Linked DNA regions of Arabidopsis thaliana. The protein of the gene in region 3 interacts with the protein of the main gene of each other region in a pairwise test. Each region holds a gene or a part of one and is shown on either strand. Other genes may lie near its edges.

The links.
Region 1: the proteins of AT4G02720 (region 3) and AT1G20920 interact in a two-hybrid assay, tested with the Arabidopsis thaliana proteins (one study listed by BioGRID).
Region 2: the proteins of AT4G02720 (region 3) and PPCK1 interact in a two-hybrid assay, tested with the Arabidopsis thaliana proteins (one study listed by BioGRID).

Annotation. Positions count from the first base shown.
Region 1 is NC_003070.9:7,283,367-7,287,121, forward strand, and holds the start of AT1G20920 (P-loop containing nucleoside triphosphate hydrolases superfamily protein), read left to right. Parts: upstream 1-1,675; 5' UTR 1,676-1,794; exon of another isoform or gene 1,795-1,873; 5' UTR 1,874-1,975; coding exon 1,976-3,755. UniProt on the Arabidopsis thaliana protein: Helicase required for pre-mRNA splicing, cold-responsive gene regulation and cold tolerance.
Region 2 is NC_003070.9:2,750,382-2,754,136, reverse strand, and holds PPCK1 (phosphoenolpyruvate carboxylase kinase 1), read right to left. Parts: upstream 2,014-3,755; 5' UTR 1,932-2,013; coding exon 1,127-1,931; intron 1,013-1,126; coding exon of another isoform or gene 987-1,012; exon of another isoform or gene 962-986; intron 955-961; coding exon 905-954; 3' UTR 328-904; downstream 1-327. Other genes in the region: AT1G08645 (uncharacterized protein), read left to right, coding at 1,542-1,886, 2,130-2,195, 2,307-2,324; CJD1 (Chloroplast J-like domain 1), read left to right, coding at 2,928-3,058, 3,359-3,458, 3,544-3,648, 3,745-3,755.
Region 3 is NC_003075.7:1,204,227-1,207,981, reverse strand, and holds the start of AT4G02720 (Ras-induced vulval development antagonist protein), read left to right. Parts: upstream 1-2,089; 5' UTR 2,090-2,168; coding exon 2,169-3,437; 3' UTR 3,438-3,755. Other genes in the region: WDR5b (Transducin/WD40 repeat-like superfamily protein), read right to left, coding at 1-223; AT4G02725 (spindle pole body-associated protein), read right to left, coding at 692-775, 988-1,129, 1,656-1,927.

The DNA.
Region 1 (3,755 bases), on a different chromosome or scaffold from region 3:
GGGTTGATAAGAATTTACGATAGAAGTAGGAGTTAAATCCTAGAATGACAATCAAAATATAATTATACAATTAAATACTACCACGAGTGAAATCCTATAATTGACGAGTTTGAATCGATATTAATATGGGATGGTTTACTACGGGTGATATTTTAGAATTGACTGGTTTGGGTTGATAATAATTTGCGATAGAATTAGGAGTGAAATCCTAGAATGACAATTAAAATATAATTATACAATTAAATACTACCACGGGTGAAATCCTAGAATTGACGGGCTTGATTCGATATTAATATGGGATGGTGTACTACGGGTGATATTTTAGAATTGACTGGTTTGAGTTGATAATAATTTGCGATAGAATTAGGAGTGAAATCCTACGATGACAATTAAAATATAATTATACAATTAAATACTACCACGGGTGAAATCCTAGAATTGACGGGTTTGATTCGATATTAATATGGGATGGTGTACTACGGGTGAAATCCGAGAAACAACAATCAAAATACAATTATACAATATTAAACATTTAACAAAATAAACAAATACAACTTAAAACTTTAAAATTTGAGTTATAAAATTTCGTCTCGCGGTGAATTATACATTTAAATCAAACAATAGCATAAATTTATTAAATCATCCTAAAAATTATTTAATTATTTTTTATTTAATAAAAATATAGGCCCGCGGTATACCGCGGGTTAATATCTAGTAACCAATATTTTTACAGGTTAAATATAAAGAAATAATTTAAGATCACAAATATATTAAAACGTATAAAAAATTTCAAAAGTATGATCTCTTAAATAGAAGTTAAACAACATTAAGATGTGTAATCACATAAATATTTTCAAAAACATGTAAAATGCATTATATGAAATTTCCAAGACAATGATTTTTATATCTAGACATTGTAAGCACGTAAATATTTCCAAAAACACGTGAAAAATATAAAATGTTGTCACGTAAAATTATTAAAACGTTATGAAATAATTCTAAAACATTAAATTGTAAGTAGATAAATAATACTTTAGACATTGTAAACACGTAAACGTTTCCAAAAACATGTAAATATATAGAAAAGCTTGTAAAACACGTAAAATATCTAAAAGCTTATGAAGTTTCAAAACTTCTAAACATTTTCAAAAAATTTCATAAATTTATGAAAAGTTACAACTGTTCGATAAATTATATCACGTTATTATCCACTGATATTCTCAATAGTTAGTACTTTTGCAATACATGTGTTAGGTTTATATTTTTAGAAAAAATCAAAATATTTATTTGTTTAAACCTTTTTGTTGTTTTTATTATTCCTCTTAGAAACTAATAAAATTTCAAAGTTGTGTTGAATTGTTTGACTGGCTAAGATATTTTCTATTTGCCTACATTACCAAGTATAGTTCAAATTCTTAGGAAAATATTTCTTTTTAAAATTGTCTTCTATATTTAAGAGATTTTCATTAAAATGGGATATATAAGGAGATATCATAAGAATTGTGAAATTATATTTGAGAAAAAAATGAAAAACAAATAAAATAAATAAAAAGCTGAAATCTCACTTTGGGCTTTGGGCCGAAACAGATAAACCAAAATCGTCATGTGAAATATGGGCTTAATATTGATCCAAATCAGGTCGGCTAAATTCTGTTATTAATTAAGAAAAACCGCCAATCTCAGATTTTTTAGCAAACCTTTTCCACAATTTCCAGACAGTTTTAGGGTTCCGTCGTTCTTATTCACTCTCGATTCTTCGCTTAGCTTCGTCTTCTTCATCGAAGATTTATCTCTGTAAGCTTCAAAACCTTTTTTTTTTTTTCGATTCGATTAATCTGAGATTATTTCCTCACTCGTTTTGATTCTGAATCAGACAATTCGCTGTGGATCTTCGGGGCGGGCGAATTTCATTGATTTTCCATTGAATCTGCGAGGTTACATATCCGGATTTGTGTTATCGGAGCTGAATTTAGGAATGGAGGTAGAGAAATCCAAGTATAGGAGCGAAGATTTGGATGTGGTGGAGGAGGAGGCTGATTTGAAGAAGAGTCGGCGAGATCGTGATCGGAGTAATGAGCGGAAGAAGGATAAGGGTTCAGAGAAGCGTCGAGAGAAGGATAGGCGGAAGAAACGAGTTAAGAGTAGTGATTCTGAAGATGATTACGATAGAGATGATGATGAAGAGAGGGAGAAGCGTAAGGAGAAGGAGAGGGAGCGGAGACGGAGGGATAAGGATAGGGTGAAGAGACGGTCTGAGAGAAGGAAGAGTAGTGATTCTGAAGATGACGTTGAAGAAGAGGATGAGAGGGATAAACGCAGAGTGAATGAGAAGGAGAGAGGGCATCGAGAACATGAGAGAGATAGAGGCAAAGATAGGAAAAGGGATAGAGAGAGGGAAGAGAGGAAGGATAAAGAAAGAGAAAGGGAGAAGGATAGAGAGAGGAGAGAACGGGAACGGGAAGAGCGGGAGAAGGAGAGAGTTAAAGAAAGAGAAAGGCGGGAACGGGAAGATGGAGAGAGGGATAGGAGAGAGCGTGAGAAAGAAAGGGGTAGTAGGAGGAACCGGGAAAGGGAAAGGTCAAGAGAGGTGGGCAATGAAGAGAGTGATGATGATGTCAAGCGTGACTTGAAACGTAGAAGAAAAGAGGGCGGTGAACGGAAGGAGAAAGAGCGTGAAAAGAGTGTTGGCAGATCTAGCAGGCATGAAGATAGTCCAAAGAGAAAGAGTGTCGAGGATAATGGGGAAAAGAAAGAGAAGAAAACGCGAGAAGAAGAACTAGAGGATGAGCAGAAGAAGTTGGATGAGGAAGTGGAAAAACGAAGGAGAAGAGTCCAGGAGTGGCAAGAATTGAAGAGGAAGAAGGAGGAAGCTGAAAGTGAAAGTAAGGGTGATGCGGATGGTAATGAGCCCAAGGCCGGTAAGGCTTGGACTCTTGAAGGAGAATCTGATGATGAAGAAGGCCATCCGGAAGAAAAATCAGAAACAGAAATGGATGTTGATGAAGAGACTAAACCTGAAAATGATGGAGATGCTAAGATGGTAGACTTGGAGAATGAGACAGCTGCTACTGTCTCTGAGAGTGGAGGTGATGGAGCTGTAGATGAAGAGGAAATTGATCCTTTAGATGCTTTTATGAATACTATGGTATTACCTGAGGTTGAGAAGTTTTGCAATGGTGCTCCTCCCCCAGCAGTGAACGATGGTACTTTGGATTCTAAAATGAATGGGAAGGAAAGTGGTGACCGGCCAAAGAAAGGTTTTAATAAGGCCCTTGGTAGGATAATTCAAGGTGAAGATTCTGATTCTGATTATTCAGAACCAAAGAATGATGATGATCCAAGTTTAGACGAAGACGATGAGGAGTTCATGAAGAGAGTAAAGAAGACAAAAGCTGAGAAGTTGTCCCTTGTTGACCACTCAAAAATAGAGTATGAACCTTTCCGGAAGAACTTCTATATCGAAGTGAAGGATATCTCTAGGATGACACAAGAAGAAGTTAACACTTACAGAAAGGAATTGGAGCTGAAAGTTCATGGAAAGGATGTTCCAAGACCCATAAAGTTTTGGCACCAGACTGGGCTAACCAGCAAAATTTTGGATACTATGAAGAAGCTTAATTATGAAAAGCCAATGCCTATTCAAACACAAGCACTCCCTATCATCATGAGCGGTCGAGACTGCATTGGGGTTGCAAAAACCGGTTCAGGTAAAACCCTTGGTTTTGTTTTGCCAATGCTGAGGCATATTAAAGATC
Region 2 (3,755 bases), on a different chromosome or scaffold from region 3:
TTTGACTTTGCAACAAAAGTGCTGTAGTTTTGAAATTTTGGAATGTGGGGAATTTTTAGAAAACAGAAGAAACGTACCTAACTAGCCCACCACCGTACATCGTGTTTTTCCCTCAACGTACTTGTTTTCAACATCAAATAGTCATGAGTGAAAAAAGTTGATCTATTACGAAAAGTGTGCATTAACTTTAAATCGGTGGAATGTTGTTATCAAAAGACACTACACTGAAATAGGATCCGCATGTAAACGAACATTTGAATTAAAAAGGTACTATTTAAATATAAGAGAGTGGATAACAATCAGATAATAAAAACAAAAAAAGATATGGTTTCTCCAAGTATCTGAACGACATTTTTCATTGCTTGAGAAAATTATTTCGTTTAATTATATGTGCAAAGGTTAGATTAGGTCTTTATCAACAAAGTGTTAGATTAGGGATAACATAAACTATTTTTATTGATTAAAAAAAAAAAAAAGCAGAAAAAGGAGTACAACTCTGCTTTCTCACATCCTTTTACTCACCCCACATGGAAAAAAAAACCCGTAAAAGGCGGAAAAAGATTTGTTATCCTCTCTACATTACCGTCTCTACCCCTAAAAAGACTTTTCAAAAGCCAAACAAAATTCACATAAGCAACAAATGCAGAAAAAAAAAAAAAACTCATCGCCAAACTCAGAAGCAGCCACAACAAACAAGCTTCTTTTATTATTCAGCTCCTTTTTTTTTGGTTAAAAGTCTTTTCCAGAGTCTTCTCTTCTACTAGGTTGGTAGGCTGGCGGAATCTAAAATGCCCATAACCCAAATTTACATGCCCGACACTCCTCCATACTTGTTAGATAAAAAACCACCGAGAGAGATGATAAGCTATCACTTGACACTTATTTATTTCTCCGAGAGAATCTTCTAGATGAATCTCTCCTCTGTTTCTCCTGCTCTTTGGATCCATGGGTGCCCTGCAACAAAACAAAATTACAAAATACCAAATTTAGTTCACTTTATCATTAAACCAACCTACTAAAAAATGGATTAGTGTGGATAAGATAACATTATCTGTTAAAAATAGATGAAATTTATTGACATTAAAAATTCAACAGAGAAACAGATCTGATGGTTTTAGAATCTTACTTAATGCTTGTTCGGCTGAGAATCTTCTAGAAGCATCTTTGCATATCAATTTCCTTAGGAAATCTTTAGCCATAGATGAAACCCCCCGGAATATCTTCGTCGGAAAACGGAGATTTCCTCTGAGTACCGCTTCGAATATCTCTTCAGCTGTCTCGCCGTAAAACGGTGGAGTTCCAGCGAGCATCGTGTACAAAACGACGCCGGCGCTCCATAGATCGACCTTCTCTCCGTAAGAATATCCCATTAAAACCTCCGGCGCCACGTAATACGGCGTTCCGACGACTCCTTCGGTGGTCTCTCCCTCACCTAACCAAATCCCTGAACCGAAATCGCAGATCTTAACCGTATCGTTTCGTAGATCTACCAGAATGTTCTCCGGTTTAATATCCCTGTGAACGACGCCGTATCGGTGACAATGCGAAAGCGCCTGGAGAATCTGTTTAGCGAACGACGCCGTCTGAGGCTCAAAGAAGGTTCCAGAAGAGACGAGACGGTCGTAGATCGAAACAGAGGGATGGACGAGCTCCATGAAGATGGAGAGAGTCGAATCAGTGTCGATGAGATCATGGATTTGAACGATGTTAGGGTGATAGGACAAGAGAGCCATGAGCTTAGGCTCGTTGTCGAGACAGGCACGGTCAAGGTCGTCGGAGAGAGAGGCTTTGTCGATGGTTTTGCAAGCGAAGAAATCACCGGTGGCCGGAGCGTAGACGCGAGAGACGGTGCCGAAACGGCCACGGCCGATCTCCTCGCAGATCTGGTATTTGTTGGTGTTGTTGTTTCCGAGTGTTTGGCTGCAAGTCATAATATCACTTTCTTAATATTTTTTGTTTTGTGTTGGTTCTTGTGTGAGTTAAGAAGACCTCTTGAGTCGGCTCTACCTTTTTTTATAGCCAAAACTCTTGAGAATATTCCTTTTGATGCCTACATGTTTTTTTTTTCTACTAGTATTTTCCTTTTCCTTAACGTTATATCTTTTTTGTTTTTATTTTGTTTTAAATAGGATTTTAGATATTATTTCCCAATCCAAATCTATTTTTTTGTTTTGTTAGAAGTTTACTTGGAGAAGGTTTGTACTTTGTAATGTCTTTTCTTATCTTATTATATACAATTTTACTTTCTAACAGTTCTTTATTATCTATTTGGTTTGTTCTTTGAAATGATAATTACTTGGTGGTAGTCTAAAATTCACATTTAAGTTTATTATCAAATGTACTACACAATTACAATCCTCTCTAAATTACAGAAAAACATTCTCAACAGATCCAGATTTGTTAAGATAAAATATTGGATCTACAATTTAATATGTTTCCAGAAAAAGTTCATAAATTGATAATGCACAATCTAGTGAAAAAGAGGTAGGAAATCCAACCCCAATTTATGCAAAAACATTTCCAAATTGAATGTGAGTACTAAACGATTTCTTGGACGAGATTGAAATCTGAAAAAGAGATAAGAAAAGTGTGGCATGTTTGGATTGGAATTGGGAGATAATCCCTGCAAGTAAGTAAACCAGAGATCCCACGAAAACAAACTAATAAAGACACTGGATTGGGCCGATAAATCAGTTGGGCTGAAGAAAGCAGGCCGTCTTTATTATTACCTAATTCGTTCACGATGGAGGTCGAACCGAGAATATCCCCCTCCGGAGGCGAGCGCCTTATCCATTGGGCCACGCGAACTATTGGTCAGGCCTCAGTTTTTAGCCTTAACAAACTATTGAGTATTGAATGATTAGCTTCCAAACATCAATCACCAACCTTCTAGTTTCCTTTTAACCCTACTAGAGCTCTGCTCTGCCATGGCTCCCGCACTATCTACTTCTTGCTCCTCCGTCATGGCTTTCTCAACATCAAACGCGCTTCGTTACCATCATCCTCAAATTTCTCTCAGGAACTCTCTTCGCGCTCCCAAATCGCCTTCTTTTGTCAGGTACTTTCTCTTGATGCTGCTTTTTTGTTTTCCACTTCTCTTCGGTGGCTTTAAAGTCGAAGAATCATCGTTTGATAGTTCTTTTTGTTGTGTAAACTTACGGATTTTGTGGGTAACCGTTATCTTCTTCCTTCATAAACATTGTCAATTGAATTCCGACGGCTTAATTCGTGGATGAGCTTCTTACTGTTGCCTATAAAGTTTACAACTTTCAATTGCACTTAAGAGAGTTCCATTGTTGTGCTTATCAGACCATTTGGTACACGTTATCATTGTAATGAGGATGATTGAAATTCTCAGGCTTCCCCTCGGAAAGGTGTTACAGAGCAGGATTGTGATACGTGCTGCTTCGTCTGCGGCTGGTAATCCACAGTCTGATGCTGACTTTAATCCGTATGAGGTAATTGATCGTTAGAGCCCTATAAAGGACTTGTTTTGTTGGTCGTTGTGTATTTCTCATGACATGAGTGTGTGTACCTTCTCAGGTTCTTGGTGTTAACCCTATAGAGGGATTTGACAAGATCAAGCAAACTTATGGAAGGAAACTTAAAGATGCTCAGAGGAGCGGTGATGAAGCCACTGCTGCTCTAGTAAGTTACGTTACCTCTCTCTTTCTTTGGAGTCCTGTAAGTGATTTTTTTTTTTTTTTTTTCTTGTTAACACGTCTCTGTTTTACCTTTTGATAGCTTGAGAAGGC
Region 3 (3,755 bases):
AGTTTGTTGCTGACCAGAGGATCATGGTTTTGTCTACGGAAGCGGAAGCGAGAAGATTGCCGTCGTTGGAGAATTTGACGCAAGAGATCGCCGCCGTGTGACCTTCTAGGGTTTTCAGGTGACGGTATGGCTTATATATCGGAACGTTTCCGCTTGTTCCTGCGTTACCGGTGGAATTCGCGTTAGCGACTCCGTTACTTGTTCCGTTACCACCGCTTGGCATCGTCGTCTCTCGTCGGATTTAGCAGAGTGGAGATGATCTCAATGAATCTCTCACCGTTACATATATATACATTCCGTTGACCATGACCTCTTGGGAATTACATTTTTACCCTTCATTCCTCATTTCTCGTATTGGTGGTTCTTCGGCTCGGTTCGGTTCGATTTGAATTTGTCGATTTTGTTGAACTAAAATTGGTCCGGTTCGTTTGGTTTATTTAGTTCGAAGGCACTTTATTCGGTTGGTTTCAGTAATGAGGTTTCGGTATATTTGGGTTAATTTCGGTTTGTATAATCGGTTCAATTCGATTTTAATGCCCACTACATTAGAGGACTCTGAAATCAAGATTTATGTATCCAAACATCTGTGAATGAAATTGAGATAAATCCATAGATGATGGTTATATTATACACACAACAGAAGGGAAGATTTATGCAAGAAACGAATGTAATTTTGAACATTGAGAAGATCCTATGAAGGCTTGTTTTTGCCGTAAATATCTTCAAAACCATCAGCTACTCGTTTCCTTCTTTCAGCAATCATTTCTGAATACGACTGAACCAAAGTACACGAAAAAACCACCAGAATCTCAAAGACAAGACCAAAGTAAAGTCTTGTTCACTAAGATTATAGAAACTAGCATTGTCTGAAGATGTTTAAACAGGATTTTTACTTTAACTTAGACTTAGTAAATTAGAGCTACGAACATTTCTTTAGTAAGGGAATGAAAAGGAGAGGTTGTTAGATGATGGAAGGGAAAATCATACCTTTGGGTAGCTATAAAGGAATATGTACCACCAAGCACCAATTACACCAACCGCAAGCGATGAAACTATGACCGAGTGTAGTATTACCCAGCTACATGCCACTATTGATAGACCCGTTAACATTATCGTCCATGGCTGACACCTGAGAAACATAGCCAGTTGCTTATTCAAAACCATACGGAAGAACACTAGGCCCTGAAAACGTCTAAGAAGAACCGTAAAGTTCTTGATTGCAAATACACACCAGATCAATAGATATTCAAAGCTGTAGATGCTGAGGTCGAAATGTTAAACCCTTCTTAACCCAATTACCATTACATAATCTGTATTTTGGTTCTTCACTATCTTCCTAACCAAAAGATTCAAACTTTTTCTTTCTATCTTCTAAACCACAACACACAATCATGAAACTGTAATGGGGTAAGTCTTGTTTTAAGTAGCATCAATAAATATATAGCTTCATATATGATTCAAAAAAGTTCTTGGGCAGGCATAAATCACTGAAAATGCTAATAAAGATTAAGGATTGGTCCACTTAAAAGTGAACTTAAGACTCTATCTAAGCTATAATCCCATATTCACAACCAACAAATACGATTCCTCATAAGTCTTAGGACCAAATCCAAACTACTTGAAATAAAATTGTTGGGAACTTAAATGAGATTTACCAAGAGGGTTTAGTGTCCCAAACAGAGTCGTATTCGAGAGAGAGATTGTCTAAGAAACCTTCCATGTCATCAACTACGCCTTTTTCATCGACAAATCTTGAATCCTTCGGCTCTCTCCGATTCCCACCAAAACTTCTAACTTTCGTACTAATCCTTATTGGTTTGAGATTGAACGAGTGTAAGTTCGTTCGGAAACTGAGTTTTGAAAGAAGATTCTCTGTTTGAGGCCGAAACGGCGACAGAGACACGGCGGACATGGAGAGACTTGCCATCTGAAGACGACGATAAGGATAGAGGACTCGATTGACTCTAATTAAAATGTGGGGTGCTTTGTGTAAAATCAAAACATGATTTTCAGTGGTGAATAATGATAAATATTGGGCCTATTCGTTAAGGGCCCAATAAGTAAAAAGGCGCAGATACTGTATATGAATCAAAGCCCTAATTTATCAGACAGCTGCTTAGATTTTGTTTTCTTCATTGTCGTCGTCGGAGTGAATTAGGGATTCGAGAATGACGATGAACTCGCTTCCGAGGAGATTTGGGAAGAATCATGGCTATTTGGATCGAGATTATCGAAACGGAAGACGATCTGGTTCAGATTCCGATGAAGAATTGAAGGGATTGAGTCACGAAGAGTATAGGAGGCAGAAACGGCTTAAGATGAGGAAATCAGCCAAGTTCTGCTTTTGGGAGAACACACCGAGTCCACCTAGAGATCAGAACGAGGATTCCGATGAGAACGCCGACGAGATTCAGGACAAGAACGGCGGCGAAAGAGATGATAATTCGAAAGGGAAAGAAAGGAAAGGTAAATCTGACTCGGAATCTGAATCTGATGGTTTGAGATCTAGGAAGAGGAAGAGTAAGAGCTCGAGGTCTAAGCGCAGGAGAAAGAGATCTTATGACAGCGATAGTGAATCCGAAGGGAGTGAGAGTGATTCGGAAGAGGAAGATAGGAGACGAAGGAGGAAGAGTTCTTCTAAGAGGAAGAAGAGTAGAAGCAGCCGTAGTTTTAGGAAAAAGCGAAGTCATAGGAGAAAGACGAAATACAGTGACTCTGATGAGAGCAGCGATGAAGATAGTAAAGCTGAGATTAGTGCTTCTTCGTCTGGGGAGGAAGAAGATACCAAGTCAAAGAGCAAGAGGCGGAAGAAATCTTCGGATTCTAGTTCAAAACGAAGCAAGGGAGAGAAGACGAAGTCAGGGAGTGACAGCGATGGTACTGAGGAAGATTCGAAGATGCAAGTAGACGAAACGGTGAAGAACACTGAGCTAGAACTTGATGAAGAAGAGTTGAAGAAGTTCAAAGAGATGATTGAATTAAAGAAGAAATCTTCAGCTGTTGATGAAGAGGAAGAAGAAGGTGATGTTGGTCCAATGCCATTACCTAAAGCTGAAGGTCACATCAGTTATGGTGGTGCTTTAAGACCCGGTGAAGGAGACGCCATTGCACAGTATGTTCAGCAAGGTAAACGTATCCCACGTAGAGGAGAAGTGGGTCTTAACGCTGAAGAGATTCAGAAGTTTGAGGATCTTGGTTATGTGATGAGTGGAAGTAGGCATCAAAGGATGAATGCTATTCGTATTAGAAAAGAAAACCAGGTTTACAGTGCTGAAGACAAACGGGCATTGGCCATGTTTAACTACGAGGAGAAGGCGAAGCGCGAGGCTAAGGTTATGTCTGATCTGCAGCGGCTTGTGCAGCGCCATATGGGAGAAGAGGTGGGGCCAAATCATGACCCTTTCGGTGCTGGAAAGACTGAAGAAGATGATGATTGATTTTGCTTGGCTTCCTGCTTCTGTTATGTGGGTACTCATCTTATGCTTTATCTTGTTGAATGTTCCTTATTTGCATCATAGATACTGCTGTTTGCTACTTGCCCGTTAATGAGCTTCGTAGTTTATGCTTTAATCTGCTATGTATCCGTTAATGAGCTTCATAGTTTATGCGTTAATCTGCTATGTATCACATGATTGTGTTTGTGTGTCAAAGATAATAGATTCTGACACTGAGGATCTGCAACCGTTCTTGTGCATTTACCTTAGGTCATGTTCGATGATTGAATTTTGCAGGGCATTCACTTAGTTCTGAGATTG